Saccharomyces cerevisiae S288C: one gene and its partner. The gene in region 1 interacts genetically with each later gene. Each region holds a gene or a part of one and is shown in the gene's direction. Other genes may lie near its edges.

The links. A genetic interaction does not mean that the proteins touch.
Region 2: mutations in EMI1 (region 1) and CRD1 together harm fitness more than expected from each alone (negative genetic interaction), as found in Saccharomyces cerevisiae (3 studies listed by BioGRID).

What each region holds. Positions count from the first base shown.
Region 1 is NC_001136.10:1,470,000-1,481,732, reverse strand, and holds EMI1 (Emi1p), read left to right. Parts: upstream 1-10,669; coding exon 10,670-11,233; downstream 11,234-11,733. Other genes in the region: URC2 (Urc2p), read left to right, coding at 1-648; peptidylprolyl isomerase family protein FPR2, read right to left, coding at 901-1,308; protein disulfide isomerase EUG1, read right to left, coding at 1,572-3,125; GRH1 (Grh1p), read right to left, coding at 3,376-4,494; EMI2 (putative glucokinase), read left to right, coding at 5,257-6,759; SLF1 (Slf1p), read right to left, coding at 6,961-8,304; YDR514C (uncharacterized protein), read left to right, coding at 8,734-10,185; dithiol glutaredoxin GRX2, read right to left, coding at 10,285-10,716; SDH7 (Sdh7p), read right to left, coding at 11,315-11,716. UniProt on the Saccharomyces cerevisiae protein: Involved in sporulation. Required for the full activation of the early meiotic inducer IME1.
Region 2 is NC_001136.10:200,222-205,308, reverse strand, and holds CRD1 (cardiolipin synthase), read left to right. Parts: upstream 1-2,738; coding exon 2,739-3,590; downstream 3,591-5,087. Other genes in the region: biotin--[acetyl-CoA-carboxylase] ligase BPL1, read right to left, coding at 198-2,270; chaperonin-containing T-complex subunit CCT4, read right to left, coding at 3,727-5,087. UniProt on the Saccharomyces cerevisiae protein: Catalyzes the synthesis of cardiolipin (CL) (diphosphatidylglycerol) by specifically transferring a phosphatidyl group from CDP-diacylglycerol to phosphatidylglycerol (PG).

The sequences.
Region 1 (11,733 bases):
TATCATATCATGATATGTCGCACTTTTATCACAGAATTTTCTTCCACGCTAAAAAGCAACCAAAGGTTTTTGAAACTAATTCTTAATACGATGAAAGAACATTCATTTTCGCTGTTGAATGGGTTTTTGAGACTACCGCCAACGTTAATAAGGGGTGCTCCGATTTTTACTTGTCATCAACTAGTCTACGCCTGTTTAACTCTTTGTGACTATCTTTATTGGTTCGATTCTTCTGAACGTCAACGCGTTTTGAGTCTTTGTACAAAAGTGTACTGGCATTTGAGCACTATAGGGGAAAAAATGAATGAGGCTACTGATAACGTTGGAAAAATCATAAAATCTATAATTGATACTAGTAAGACTCGTATTAATTTTGGCAGTTTGTCAAAAGAGAATAGTGATAATGATAAAATGTCGACTAATGCTAATAACTACACAGGAGCAGGAAATCTGCACGCCGCGAAACCCGCTACTTCGCCTACTAATGTTGGTACTTTGCACGAGAACTTGTCCAGTAGTCACTTCATGATTCCTGACGTCGACCAATTCAATTCCTTTGAAGACTTTTTTCAGGATTTTTTTGATAGTTTAAAACCAAATTCCCAAAAAATGTTTACCAGCGATAAGAAGACTGAACAAACTACTTAAACTATTTTTATTAAGAGGGAAAAAATTCATACCCAAACTAGATTGAATAACATTTCTTTATATTAATATATTGTAGTTAGAGCCCTTTTATTTTATTTTGCTGCAAACATAATATACACAACCATAATTACATTGAAACTTGACATGATGGCTGGCATCCTCATATGGATATATTTTCAACTATAAAAAAAAGTTTGCCACATACGTACTCCATGCATCTTGTTGCAGATATGTGCCTGAGTGCCAATTTACCTAGGCGGCTGATTTCACGTCTACCAATTCGACATCAAACACCAAATCAGCACTTGGAGGAATGACGCCTGGGACACCTCTTTCTCCGTAGGCCAAAGAACTTGGAATTTGCAGCTTTCTTTTTTCGCCAACGCACATGCCGGCAACACCTTGATCCCAACCTTTAATTACTCTGCCAACGCCAAGTTCAAAAGCGATAGGAGAGCCTCTTGAATAACTTGAGTCAAATACAGTTCCCGATTCTAATAAAGATCCTGTATAATGAACCTTAACTTTATCACCTGGCATTGCCTTAATTAAGCAATCTTCTACCGGTATTCTCTTGATAATACCGATTTCCAAATCTGACAGGGAACCTGCAAGAATGGTGGAAAAAAAAGTGACGAAAAGGTAAATATTAAACATCATCGAGACTCAATTACTGTAAACTAGAATGTGATTGAAAACGAAAGCACTCCTTTTTCTCTTCTTAGGGTTATAGTAATGGGTCTCATATAAACCTGTATTTGAAGATGCGCTGGCAGTAATGCTAAATCTCTTCAAGAGCATAAACGGGTAACTGGTGAGAATAATCGTGATGCCATAAATAACGAATATTAGCTATTTTCTTCCAGAAACGATGCGAGTAATCAGATGTTAAAAATGTGCATTATATATGCTTTATTTATTGATTATAATTCATCATGTACGGTATCTTCAGTAGACACTTCAGAATCCTTGGCCTGGTGCAATTTATCATAAATTGCCTGGCCGTCAATGTGATGTGTACCTGATTCCTTGATAAATTCGAAAACATCTTCCAAATTTCTAATTTTATTGAAGATAATAGGCTTAGAGTTATTTCCGGCAGGATACAAAGCAATGGTTGGATATCCTGTCACAGGAAAACTTAAGATATCATTTGCCCCTGAATCTACTTCGGCGATCAAGATTTTATCGCGAACAGATTCATCAGATGCTAAGACATTTGCAATTTCTTCGTAAATAGGCGCAAACCTTTTACTATGAATACACCATGTCGCGTAATATTTGACAAGGACATCCTTGTCATCATCATGAACAATGTCGTCATGTGTCTTCCCAACTATTTTATAAACATTGGACTTTTGTTCTTTTGGAATCTCTTCTGACTTAACAATTGGCTTGGCAGTACCTTCACGGTAATCTTTTACCAACTGAACGATCATATCTCTGTCTAGTGGTTGTGGTTTTTCTAATTTCGCGTACTCTTCTTCTGGTAGTTGTGGTAAACCATATTTCAGATTATTGATCATATTATGGATAGCAAATAATGGGAACTGTTCTCTCATATTTAGGAATCTAACGTGGTGTGGGAACATTGTAGAGTTTAATGCAATGAAATTTATTTGGCCACGATTTTCCTTACCTAACTGCGTGAAAAGATCAGTGTAATCTTCCAATTCTTCCTCAGAAGTATAAAAGAAGTAAGCCAACGGCAAATTGCTAGAAATGTACTTGGGGAAGAGATCAGGTTCGATGTCGGTAAAGTAAGGTAAAATTACCACTTTTAACCACTGAGTTAGAGCAACGGAATTTCCGACCAAAGAGTCTACATTTCCATCAAACAGAATTGGTTCTGTAGTGTTTGGCAAGTGGATTGATAATGACTTATCTTCTGAATCTAGAAGGGATAAAAAGACGTAATCCTCAGCAAGGTCCAGTGCGACTTCTTGATACGTTTCATTCAAGCCTGTCAAGCCTCTGTTTATTACTACTGGTAAAGTTGCATTTTCCAAGTATGGTTGGATTTCATCTTCGGAATTTAAATAAATGACAGAAGCCTCGTATAGCTGAATCATGTACTGAGTGATTTCATCGGTGATCTTGACACCGCGATAGACTTGACCATCAAAAATACGACCATTTTTAAAGATTTTCAAGGTTGGGTAGGTATTTATAGTTTGTTGCAGGCAAACCATACTGTTAGCCTCACAATCAATTTGAACAACTGGGACGTTATGCTCCTTTAAAATAGAGGCGGCCTCTTCTAAGTGAGGGCGTAAGATCTGAGAATGCAAACACCATGGAGCAAAAAACTCGACGAGGACTAACGGATGAGATTCGATGAATGATTTAAATTTCTTCTCTGTTAGAACGAGTAAATCTGATCCCGGCGTAGCTCTTGCGCTGTTTTCAGCCAACGTGAAAGAAGCAAACAGGCAAAACGAGACTATCGCAGATATAAATCTTGTGGTCACTTGCATGGTATTATATGAGCGGGTGCTTGTTGGGAGATTGCCATATAATTGAAACGTCAAGTCTTGGAAATTGAAACTTTCTGAATGCTAAAATATCTATTGTCTTAACAAAAAAGGACACGCGTGCCTTTGAAAAAAAGTCTCGGTACTTTTCGTACATTGCCAACTATCGTTTACGTGTTTTGAAGGGAAAGCAAGCTTATATATATATATTTAATTTTGCTATGAAACAAAACCAAAAGACTAACCAGGAAAGTTAATCAGAGGATGACTGTTTTTGTGGTGGTGGGGCGAGGATGTCAGATTCTGCTGACTTCGCAGCGGTAGATGACTTATCTCTGCCTTCATTAAAATAGTCATCCATTGCCAATGGCTGGGTACCCTTTTTATTTTTTGATTTCTTCTTTGTTGGCACCGGTGGTGCTGTGAATGCTGATGGCACAAAAGCCGTCTCAGATTCTACTGGAACAGGAACAGGAACAGGGTTGTCATCTTGCCCCTGCTGCTGTGCTTGTTGTGGACAGTGCTTTACTGTTGGAATCCTGTGAAGAAACCCGTATCCAACGTTGCAACCCAACCTGCCGTCGGGACCTATATGAACTGTGATTGGTCTCACACAGTCAGAAACTTTGTTGTAGACATAAAGGACCAGATCGTAGTTTGCTCTTGATCTAACAATATCTTGTAAAAGCGTCTCCCCTCCCGTGGCCAACAGGCCATCTTGGCAGCCGATAATGTAGTCTTCATCTGGGATGAGCCCTGCCGATTGGGCGGGTCCATCTGGGATGTTCACGTTCAGGATATGGTATGTGAAAGTGGAAGCTATCAAAGGCGTCCATTGGACTTTGAACCCGAGTGCTTGGAACTGGTGCGCTTCCCCACTAGATGGCCTCCTCTCGTCATGGTTTAGAGAAACATCGTCCAAATCGTCGCTCTCCTTCGATATAATGCTGATATACTCGTCTCTGAACGTGCCTCCTTTAGCTGACCATATGTTGACCTTCAAAGTTCGGCCACAGTGTTCATTGAAGATGGATGTGATACGACGGTAATCTGGGTACGAAAATCCGTGTTGATTACTGACCACCGGCACCGGATCATCATTGAAACCTACTATATAGTCGAAAAAGGACTGCAGTTGGAACTGCATCTCGTCCACCCAAACAATGCGGAGACCGGAAAGCGTTTCATTGACGTTGGTGTGCTTAACACCTTCAGAAACCGCATCTACGGGTGATTCCAACTGAGCAGACAACAAATTTGGTGGTATAGACTGAAAGAAAGCGTCCAGATTGCTCGAGTCCTGCGAGAGTGCCAGGGTATCTTGCACGCTCTGCTCAAAAGTCCGTACGAGGTTTTTAGCTATTCTAAACATAGTTCTTCTTCCTATACCTTTTTACTTCCCTAGTTTCGCACGCTGTGTCGGTCGCAGTTACAGTAGTAGTCTCAGCACCCCTGTTCTTGGTCCTGATCCCGTTGCGACAAGCCCATTTCTTTTATGATAGCCAAAATGCAACTAAACCTCGTCGTCGTCGGCTTGCGTGTCCGCCGCGAAGACAGAAAAATAACGAAACGAACTTAATAGAAACGACCTAGATTTTATTTGGAAGCCAGCCCGATGCTATCTTCAAAATGGCTGTCACTGGGTGCAAAGGCGGTGGGAGAGCCCATTAAGTAATTTAATCGGGTTGTCTCACCAATGTTAGCCACAACGCAACGCTACGTCGCCACTCTGGCAGCCACCGCAACGAGCAGTAGCAACTACTTTCGGGTGGGCCCTTCAGGGGTAGTTGCCTGCGTCTTTGTTCGAAGAATCAAGTGACAAAAAACGCGGGGCATCCAGAAAGTCTTTTTGTGTGTGTCGTCGAAAGGGAAAGTGAGAGAGTGAGAGTGAATTAGTGTTTGTGTGTGTGGAAGACAGAGGAAGAAGATCGGGTCGTCGAATTCTATTATGCTTGCGATGCAGGGGGGGGAAACATGTATTCGGGATTATATAAAGTCGATTCTGTGTAAGTGTAAAATCTCATCTTGTCTCGTGTTCTTTTGTACGTCTCATACTTATAGGAAGTTTAAATAGAAACAGATATCAGTGTATCAAGGAAGAATTGTACAAGAATCGAATCATAGATACACAGTAATGTCATTTGAAAATTTACATAAAGTCAATGCTGAGGCATTGGAAGATGCAGTGGTTGAGATCTGCTCCTCATTGCAGGTTGATGCAGCAAAGTTGGACGAACTAACAGCGTACTTCATTGAATGTATGGAAAAGGGGTTGAATAACACCTCTGTAGGCGAAGAAAAGACGGTGGACAAGGGTCTACCCATGATCCCTACATATGTAACCAGTTTGCCCAATGGGACGGAACGTGGTGTTTTGCTGGCTGCAGATTTAGGTGGGACTCACTTCAGAGTGTGTTCTGTGACTTTGAATGGTGACGGAACCTTTGATATGCAGCAATTGAAGTCTAAGATTCCGGAAGAATATCTAAATGACAAGGATGTCACCAGCGAGGAGCTGTTTAGCTACCTGGGTCGCCGTACAAGGGCCTTCGTTAGGAAGCATCATCCTGAGTTGTTGAAGTCCACGGGGGAGAACATAAAACCTTTGAAAATGGGATTTACCTTCTCATATCCCGTTGACCAAACCTCTTTGAGTTCCGGTACTTTAATCAGATGGACCAAAAGCTTCAAGATTGAAGACACGGTCGGCAAGGATGTCGTGAGGTTATACCAGGAGCAATTAGACATTCAGGGGCTCTCTATGATTAATGTGGTAGCTTTGACCAACGACACGGTTGGCACTTTCCTATCCCACTGCTACACTTCAGGCTCTCGTCCATCGAGTGCTGGTGAGATTAGCGAGCCTGTCATTGGTTGTATCTTTGGTACTGGTACTAACGGTTGCTATATGGAGGATATTGAAAACATCAAGAAGCTACCAGATGAGCTCAGAACAAGACTGCTGCATGAAGGAAAAACCCAAATGTGCATCAACATCGAATGGGGTTCTTTCGACAATGAATTGAAACATTTGTCTGCTACAAAGTATGACATCGATATTGACCAAAAATTTTCTCCAAATCCAGGTTACCATCTATTTGAAAAAAGAATTTCCGGCATGTACTTGGGTGAGCTGTTAAGGAACATCCTGGTGGACTTGCATGCAAGGGGCTTAATCTTGGGACAGTATCGTAATTACGATCAATTACCTCACCGTTTAAAGACTCCTTTCCAATTGTGCAGTGAAGTTCTTTCCAGGATTGAAATCGATGATTCGACAAACTTGCGTGAAACTGAATTGTCGTTTTTGCAGAGTTTGAGGCTACCGACCACTTTTGAAGAACGTAAAGCAATTCAAAATCTGGTCCGTTCCATTACGAGAAGGTCTGCATATCTAGCAGCCGTTCCGATTGCCGCCATCCTAATCAAGACAAACGCTTTGAACAAAAGATATCACGGTGAGGTAGAAATTGGTTTTGACGGTTATGTCATCGAATACTATCCTGGATTCAGATCCATGCTGAGACATGCTTTGGCATTAAGTCCAATTGGCACTGAGGGTGAACGTAAGATACATTTGCGTCTAGCCAAAGATGGGTCCGGTGTTGGCGCAGCTTTGTGTGCTCTGGTGGCATAAAACATATCTGTTCTTAACAGCTTATTTTTAGTTTGTTTTCGTTTTCCTCTATATAAATATCTTATGTATCTGTTATATAAAAAATTATTTAGTACGAATTGAAATGAAATGTTATGTTATATTTTTAGAGAGAATCTGCTATTACTTTATACATGTTAACTATATACATAATAAAAAAAAAAAAAAAAATATTGTCTAAAATTAATCATTTATTTGTAAGTTTTGTTCAAACTGCCTGCTAATTTCACCTTGGTCATAGCTCTGACTCTTTTTCCCATTTTCATTACTGGGAAAGAAGTTTGGATAGCCCATATAAGAATAATTGTCTAAATCGTTCGGTCCCAATAGTTTCTCAATGTTGTATTTTTCAGTTTCGTCATCATTTTCATCAAAATTACTTTCCATAGCGTATTCAGCCCAATTTTCGCGCCTAATAAAATAGTTTTCCAATGGATTGAAATCATCTGCCATGTTCTTCTGAGCACCTTCTATGCTTCCAAGGGCAATTTCCAAATGGTTTGTTTCTTTATGTTGTAAAACTTCTCTCATAGATGCCAAAATTAAATTTGGGTCTCCACCAAGAGATAAATTAACCATACGGTAAAATTTCCCTATCAAACTCATGGGGATAAATCCGTCATTGGCTTTTTTGAATTTAGATCTTAAAAATTCATCTGTTTTCAAGTTCTCTTCACTAAAATAGAATTCAATTTGGTTTTTGATACTTTCGATAGATTTAAAAATAGGTTCCATTGAGTAATAATATGGTGTTTGCAATTGTTGTTGATAGTTGATGTTATTATAATACTGCTGTTGACGGAAGTATGACAGTTGTTTATAGCTATTTCTTGAATTGTTGTTCAACCAGTGGCTGGCATTGGGAATATATTCAGGTCTAGCCTGATAATTATTTGGGAAGGAGATGGCATTATTAGCCGCCTGACTGTGTCTACTATTGTTGTTGTATCTTGTTTTGCCATTCCTGTTTTGATAATTTCTTGATTGTCTACCGTTGGTTGAATTGTTGTTGTTTGTTATCCTCTTTATATTCCCATTGGCAGTTGCTCCTGAGCTTGAATGTATGTTTACTTTAGCGTTAGCATCTAAAGGTTTGGATTCAAGATTGGAAACGTTACTTATTTCCGATGTACTGTTGGTTTGACCGTTAAAGTCCTTTTTATTGATATCGTTATTATATTTGCCACGCTTTTTCATTTTTTTATTAGTCTTAGAATTTTTAGAGTTCTTTCCTGACTTTGAATTTGTGTCCTTGGAACCTGAGATTATAACAGACGGCGTAATTGGAGTCCATTTGGTATTGCTTGTTAATTTAATTGACCCCGAACCATTTTTACTTGGCTTTGCAGTCTTTGATATATCTCTTAGTTCCTCTACAGGAATTACTGTATTGCTATCTGGCGAAGATGATTTCCATGGCGATGTGGTTGGTATTGGTGCCAACTTTAAGGATGAAGTTTGTTTCTTCTTATCTTCAGCTGCTGAGGATGTATTTTTTGGATTATCATTGAGGTTTTGCGATGACATTTTTGAATTCACTTTATGATTGATTTTCTTTATCTTGGTTATATTTTTGGGCTCTCTCGTTTATTTAACGCCACCCTAAATTGTGTCTTAACAATACGCTTCCTCTCAGTATTTTTTTTTAAATAAAAAAATATGATAGAACTGCTGAACACTACTTTTTAAAACCTTTTAATAAATAGACAAGTGTCAACCAAGGATGTGCCAATTTTCCTTTGTGATTCAGCTGCGCTTGTATGTGCTTCCAGCTTTACTTTTACTAATTTTTTCATAAGCACAAAATAGTAAGATCTTTTTTCTCTTGGCGGTGAAAAATTTTGATTCGATGGATCAATAACATACTGCAAAAAACGGTTTGAGGACATATGAATACTGCATTTACTAGTAATTTGCCTAGTATATAGTTTGACTACACAGATTATAAGCTATTGTATGAGTAGCTCCACAAAGTGCAAGAAAGCATACGAAGCGGTAGTCAAAATGGTTACGCATAGATTCAACTCCAAAGCAGTCCGCAATTACCATCAACCACAAGGTTTAAACAGGAGTCTGGCAACCCGCAATGCAGCTAGAGTTAGGGGTATGGTCCCTTCAAGAAGAGGGGGCGTGGGACTGTATAAGAGTTCAAGTAGCAAGTTGATGAATAAACTAGGAAGACAAAAGACATGGATAAATGAGTTTGAACATTTTAATTCTCTGCACGAAATTGCATATACCCCTAACATTGCGTTAAGTAGTGAAATCCAAAAATATTTAAAGGCATTGGAAACAAACTATCGGTCCATCTATGAGAAAAGTTCAGAATTACTGGATAAGAAGCTGGAAGAAATTGACAAGAAATGGATAGAGAAAAACGGGTGTATACCTGATGCATCTAAAGACGATGTGGAGAAAAATCTAAGAAAGCAATATTTAGCAGATGTACAGGACGTAAAAAACGAACATATACCTGTGATGAATTGTGAACCTGGTGGGTCTCAGTTCAAGTATCTCTGTAAAACTATTGAGTTATTATCATCCAACAAGACAATTTGTTTTGCCATCGATGTAGAGGCATTTGAATTTGATACAGACATTGTTACAGAGATTGGCATCGCCATATATGATCCAAGAGAAAACATTTATTCCTTGATGCCGATTATAAGAAGTTATCATTTAATTGTTGCTGAAGCGTTACCGTTAAGAAACAAGAAATTCGTATGCGACTTTAAAGACTGCTTTTTACTTGGAGAAAGTCTTGTATTACCATTGGAACAATGTGTAGAGTTCATTCAGTCGTTGATTAATTTCTATATGAAATGTGAGACGGACCAAGATACAACCTGGGAAAGAGCGTTTGTGGGTCATGCTATAGCGGGGGATATTAAGTGGCTGAAGAAAATTGGGGTCCATGTACCTGAATTGGATAATGAACTTACCAAACCGGAGGACTCAACGGAGAGCAAAGGTGTTAGAAAACATGTTAAGATGCTTGACACAGAGAAAATTTATAGCATGTGTTATGGCAAGAAGGGTAGCAGTTTAGGTAAACTACTAAGGCTTTTTCACTTGCCACATGCCTTCTTACATAACGCAGGCAATGATGCATATTACACGTTGCTCCTGATGCTGAAGTTAGGAGATTATAACTTTAGAAAGCAAATTGGGGCAGATGATTTAGAAACAATGGGATATAGGATAAGAGAATGGTTTAAGCGTGAGGCGGACGAACCCAAAATTTTGCCAATGTCGTACGTGCTAAGTGTGATGAATGCCAATAATAGCAAACCGAAAGTTGATGATAAGGGAAGAAAGAAGCCGAGGGATCTTGTACCTCAGACGGAATTTAGCGGGTCTCATTGGTTTCAAAATGCACGCGCAGCCTTCAAAAGTACTCTTGTGTGAATCTAGCTAGAAGTTTTGTAGGTATATGTGATTTAAGATATAGATAATAAAAGATATATATATGTAAATATTATGAAGGGGATATTAGCGTAATTTAAACTATTGAAATACCGGCTTCAATATTTCAGCTAACTTGCCATTTTTCTTCAAAGTTTCCAAATCGCTGTTACCACCAATGTGCTTGCCATTGATGTATACGTTAGGTACAGTTTTTTGGCCCGAGATTTCTTCTAAAGCGTCTTGAATCTCTGAGCCATTGCTCATTTCATCTAATTCCAACACAAGGGCCTTGGATTTGGGAACGTTCAATTCTTGGAAGAGGGTAGACAAAGTAGCTTTACAGTAAGGGCAGTATGTCTTTGCTGCAACAAACACTTCCTTTTGGCCAATCAGATCCTTTACGTGAGCAACTGTTTCCTGGGATACCATTTTTGGAGTAGATAAAAATCTTTTAGCAATAATTCTTGTGGCAAACAACGTGATAATGATAATAACAATTAAATTCGAGTCGAAGGAAAAATTGGTCTCCATGAAACAATATATAACAGTAGTTGGAGTGTCCGTTAATCAAGAGGGCACCTTTTCTTGGCGTCCTGGGACTTTTTATATGAAAATTCATGAAGAAAGTGCGGCGGGCCCCTTTGCGAAGGGGGCCGAAATATCGGATCTTAGTAATAGTTCTGCTATTGGATGTGGTATTAGCATAAATCAAGAGGGAGGCGATGGTTCTATTAGGGTAAAAGAGAGCAGCTTGAGGAAGAAACAGGAAAGGATGAGTACAAAATATCCGACAACGATGAGTTGCCGAGAGGCATTTGATCAACTGACGAGTTGCTATTCGATTGGAGGGCAATTTAGAAGCTATTACAGATATGGAGATTTTACATCATGTGACAAGCAGGTGTCCAAATTCAAGTTTTGTATTATCCACGGCAATGACCCTGTGAAAGTGCAGGAATGGTATAAAGATCAGGTTTCCAACAATAAGGCATTGGAAAATACCAGTGGGGTTATATGGCAGGAGAGGGAGACCACTGCAAATAAGTGAGATTTTTAGCTTTTTTTTTTTAGCATGTGTACTATATAGTATATGGATTTCTTATTTACAAGCGCAATAAAAAGACGAACACTAATCCTTGTTGTTCCGCTTCACGTCCTTACTTGATTCTATTTCATTGTCTTGGTGAAGTTTCTGTGTTTCCTTCATCAATTCATACAGTTGAACTGTTTGCTCAGGGGATAGTTTCTCCAGGGTTTCCGAAGATAAAGTGGCATCTTTCCATTTACCGTTGGAAATCATGTGGAGATAATCTTGCCAGGAAGCTAAAAAGCCGACTATATGCAACGGGTTATCGATATCTTTGTGCAACTTGAACTCGTTTCGCACGTATTGGTCACCCATCTCCCTTTGGGGACCAGGTAGCAGCTTATGCTGCCTTAGTATCCTTCTGTAGAGAACCAAAGGTGGAAGTAAAAGCTGGCTGTTATGGGTTGCAAATCTAACCGAACGATATATGAGCTTGTTGTTCATGGTGAATGAAGACGGGA
Region 2 (5,087 bases), 1.3 Mb from region 1:
TCAAATAATATTTCTAGTTTATTTTTGTATCATAATAAAAACGTATACCAAATATACCATTATTTTTCATAGCATTATGGTAGGGATAGGGAATCAAGTAACTAATTTATATCCGCAGAGCATTGGGAAAACCAACGGCGCTAGTAAATGCATTTAAATTACGTCCGTCCAACTTCTAAGCTTCAAGTGGTAGACTCTTAACTCTGAACCTTTTTAGCAATTAAGCTCTTGAAGATATCAAAAGTGTTACCGTCCGGCTGTAAATTATAAACGTTTCCTGTAAATTGAGTGGAACTACCGCTTACCAATTCTTTTGCAATCAGTAAACCGTAGTCTTCCGTGATACCAGTAATCATGGCTTGCGTATTTCCGTGATCTGGTAATGTTACTATTTGGTTACTATGTAACCACAACTCATAATAACTTGGCAATATTTCCGCAGCTCCGTAGTTAATAAACTGTTTTAATATGACCTCAAGGTTATTCATATAGAGTGCCTGCAGCTTTTCTGCCTTTATTGCTGGCAATAAATCAAGGTGTAATTGTTGGCGTTCTTCATTCAGGATATCAATCCAAGTTTGTAATGAAGTTGTAGGACCATCACTAGTCAAATTTATACCACAGCCAAGTAGCAAACAATATTTATTGTTTATGAAGTGGGTATTAACTAATAAACCAGAGATCTTAAGATAAGCGGGCTCGATATCACCTAAGGGCAACTTTGTATGCTCAAAACCGGTGTTAACCAATTTCAAGTTTTTACGCTTATAGTAGGTGGGGCTCAAAGCATAAAGGTCATTGGGCCATTTGATCCTAACAGGAATATCTGAAAATCCAGGAGCGTACGAAAGTATCGCCTTACAGTAAGCAAGCATAGAAAGATACTGGACAAAAACAACTGATATATTTCGATTAGTCACAGGCGATTGAAGCGGCATTGTTACGACGGCCGTTGATGCGCAAACACCTTTAGGATTAATCCAAGTGTTACCACCTCTCCCACGCCCAGAAACCTGAATAGTACCCACGTGAAGTAAAGTGCTTTCAGGGATCGAACTTAATAAGGATTTATTATTATTCAATATGGTACTCGTTGATGTAACAACTTCACCATATAGAAGTAAAGAACCTATGGTGTTTTGAACATTCAGATACTTGAAGTATTCTTTCATGTCAAAATTGGGCGTATATTGAAATGGTGGAATATCTTCATCTACGCCAGGAAATATTACGGTCTTAGGAACCTCATCTGGCTCTTTATGAAGCAAGGACGAACTTGCTGCATCGTAAGAGGCTCTATAGCCTCTATAAAATTGGAAAGAGTCAGTTTCGGCGTTTAATTCTGAGCAGAGTTCAACATTATTTGCATGCATTCCATGATGAGCTAAGTTGTTTTCCATTTCTTGCAAGTAATTCCGCTTATTAGGTGCACTAGCCATAAACAGTGGTGTCAAATTTGGAGCTCTTACATAATTGAAGTCATTATTACAATTCAACCCAGTTTTGGTAAGAACCGTTCTCATAAATTTCAACCTCATGATTTCCTGTGCTTTCAGGTTTTCCACAACGGTTTCAAGAAAATGCTTATCTGTGGATTTCCTCATAAAACGGACGTTGAATTCAGGGTGTGGTCCAGTGAGTAAAACCTTTCCTCTTCCGACCGTACATAGCACTACAGCAGCTGGGTTTTCACTTTGACCTTTTCCTGAGTCAGAAGAAGGCACATCCGGGTGTTCTGCGTACGTGGCCAAGATCTCGACATTATCAAATTTATCTGCATCAACAAAAACGGCTCCTCCATTGAAATAAGTTGAGAACTGTGAGCCATCTGGAAGATTCAATTTAACTGCACGTGCACCGGCCTCGCTGTTATACTGAAATCCATTGTACGCAGGTCCTCTGCTTGTTCCCGGAAAGAATCGCAAATCCCTGCTTCCTGATACTTCCATTGTAGGGTCACCTTGAGCAAATTCTACACGGCTGGTGCCAAAGTAACCTCCTGCACAAAATCCGATAAAGACACCACCTTGTTTGCTAACAAAATGTTTCAATCGAGAAATAATGGGTTGACAAGCTTGAACGTAAGGAAGATCGGCACCACCAGGAAAAACTACAGCGGAGGTCTTTGACATCCATGGTTCTGTCTGTAATACCTTAACATTGACAGTACTGACGGCGTAATAGGGTTCCAAAAAGTCACGTAAACTTTCAACAGCATGCTTAACTGATCCTGGCGTAGTCCCTGGGCCATTATAGACTAATACATTCATATTAGTTGAAATTGGATAATATTGATAAGATCGTTCTAATATCTTCTTTATTGGAACTCTGAACCTGTAACAACCAGTAAAAACCTTGCACTTTTGTATACCAAACAACTTTTGAGAACAATATATTACAGCAAAAGAAAAACTGACGAAGGGAGAAGGAAAGTAAAATATACTTATATGTGCGTTTACCCAACGTTTGGCAAACAATTACAGGAAGAAAAAGCCAAGTCCGTAGCTCTGGGATCTCTTACATGAAACCATATTAAATGTCAACCAACACTTCACAGTCATGTCTTCGAATCATTGTGCGGCGACTATTTCCGAAACTGGAGTGTGAAAAAGCTCGATTCATGAAGCCATCCTCTTAATCGGGAGTATACAATATTTACAATTGAAAAAATATAGAAAGGAGGCAATTGAGAAACAAGCAGGCCTGGTAGCATAGTTTGGTCCCTAATAATTTAGTCAATGATTCAAATGGTGCCCATTTATTCATGCTCCGCATTACTTCGGAGAACTATACCGAAAAGGCCATTCTATCATGTGTTATCAGGGTTAACTGTACGCTTTAAGGTAAACCCGCAATTAAATTACAATCTTTTCAGAGATCTCACTAGGAGGGAATATGCTACCAATCCGAGTAAAACTCCTCATATAAAGAGCAAGTTGCTCAATATTCCCAACATTTTGACTTTATCACGAATAGGATGTACACCCTTTATCGGACTCTTCATTATAACGAATAATTTGACCCCAGCATTAGGTTTGTTTGCATTTTCCAGCATCACTGATTTTATGGATGGGTATATAGCAAGAAAATACGGCCTGAAAACCATTGCAGGAACCATATTAGATCCACTTGCAGATAAACTACTCATGATCACAACAACTTTGGCATTATCTGTACCATCCGGCCCTCAGATTATACCGGTATCTATTGCGGCGATAATTCTGGGTAGAGATGTGCTACTAGCCATAAGTGCTTTGTTTATACGATATAGCACTTTAAAGTTGAAATATCCTGGTCGTGTGGCATGGAATTCCTATTGGGATATTGTTCGCTATCCCAGCGCTGAGGTCAGACCTTCCCAACTATCAAAATGGAACACGTTTTTCCAAATGGTATATCTTGGATCTGGAGTATTATTACTTTTATATGAGAAAGAAGAGGGCTGTGAAAAAACCGAGGAGGATTTCGAAGATAGAAAACAGGACTTTCAAAAGGCCTTTAGCTATTTAGGGTATGTAACCGCCACGACCACAATAATGAGCGGAGTATCCTACGCATTAAAGAGAAACGCTTTTAAACTTTTAAAATAGTATAATTGCGATCCTTTTTGAAAAGGGTCCTGACTTTTCATTTTGAATGTTTTTTAGTTTTTATGTAGTGGAAAATACACTAAATCAACATATATATGTATATATGCATAAACATATGGATACTGGGAAACCCATGTTAACGGCTGAATGCAATATCATCAATACGTAAGATGGATTTAACACATTCAGACGCTAAGGTAATTGCACTTGTACTAACAAGTACGGGTTGTAAGATGTGTTCTTCATAGGTGTTCGTAGTACCAGATCGTCTAACAGAGATACCGTCATTCAATTCACCATTTTCATGCTTAGAGCGCAATTCTGTGACAACTTTGATACTATTCAAACCTGCGTTTTCAGCCAAAGTCGTTGGAATAACTTCCAAAGCAGAGGCAAATTCTTGCCAAATAAAAGCCTGTACACCTTCCATAGACCTTGCTTCCTTACTCAACCTACGGGATATTTCAATTTCTGGAGCACCACCACCAGCGATTAAACCTCTCTCTTTCACTAGACAACGAATAACACATAGTGCATCATGGAGGGAACGCTCTGTTTCATCAATGATCATGTTGTTTGCACCACGAATAACAACAGAGACGGTTGGTCTTGCATTATTGTTTCTTATACCAGTTACTCTAACTATCTTGGAACCATCGCTATCGATCTCCTCAACTAAATCAGCGGAACCCAATCTATCTTCGGTGAACAATTCTATATCAGCAATTGGCTTACAACCCAAGCCCTTCGACAGAAACTCGATTTCTTCTCTCTCGATATCCTTTACCACCATTATGTTCAATTTTGACAAGAAATGAAGAGCCAAATCATTTACCGCATCTCTCAAGATGGATTTCTGAATCAACAGCACGTTACACTTGGCCTTTTTAATTTTTTTACAGATATTTAGCAAATACGCTCTTTCTTCTTTAAGGATCTTATCCATTTGTCTATAGTCATTAACGATGATATTATTTTCTGTGTCGGGCTTTGGAGGAGATATTTGGAATTGAATTAACCCAATCTTTGCTTTTTCCTTTCTTGTCGGACCACCAGCAGATTTGATTGCCGTTTGTGTCAAGACCACACCATCTATCATTTCTGTGTCATCAATGGTACCACCAACTTTTTTGACCAGTCTGATATCGTTCAGGTCAACATTCTTAGAGTTTTCATCAGATATCTTCAATACGGAGTCCACTGCCAAGGGCGCCAAAAACGAAGAGTATTGAGACACAATCTTGGAACTCAAAGAAGTGGATGCAGCACGAACCAGCTGTTCTCTATCGCTCAACGAAACCTTATGGCACATTTCTAAAAGAATATCGACAGATCTCTTCGCAGCACTTTGAAAGGAGTCCGCAATGATGGTTGGATGGATGCCCTTGTTTAACAGCCTCTCAGCAGCACCCAATAGAGCTCCGGTCAAGATCACCACAGAAGTGGTACCATCACCGGCTTCCGAGTCCTGCGCGGCAGAAACCTCTACTAGCATTC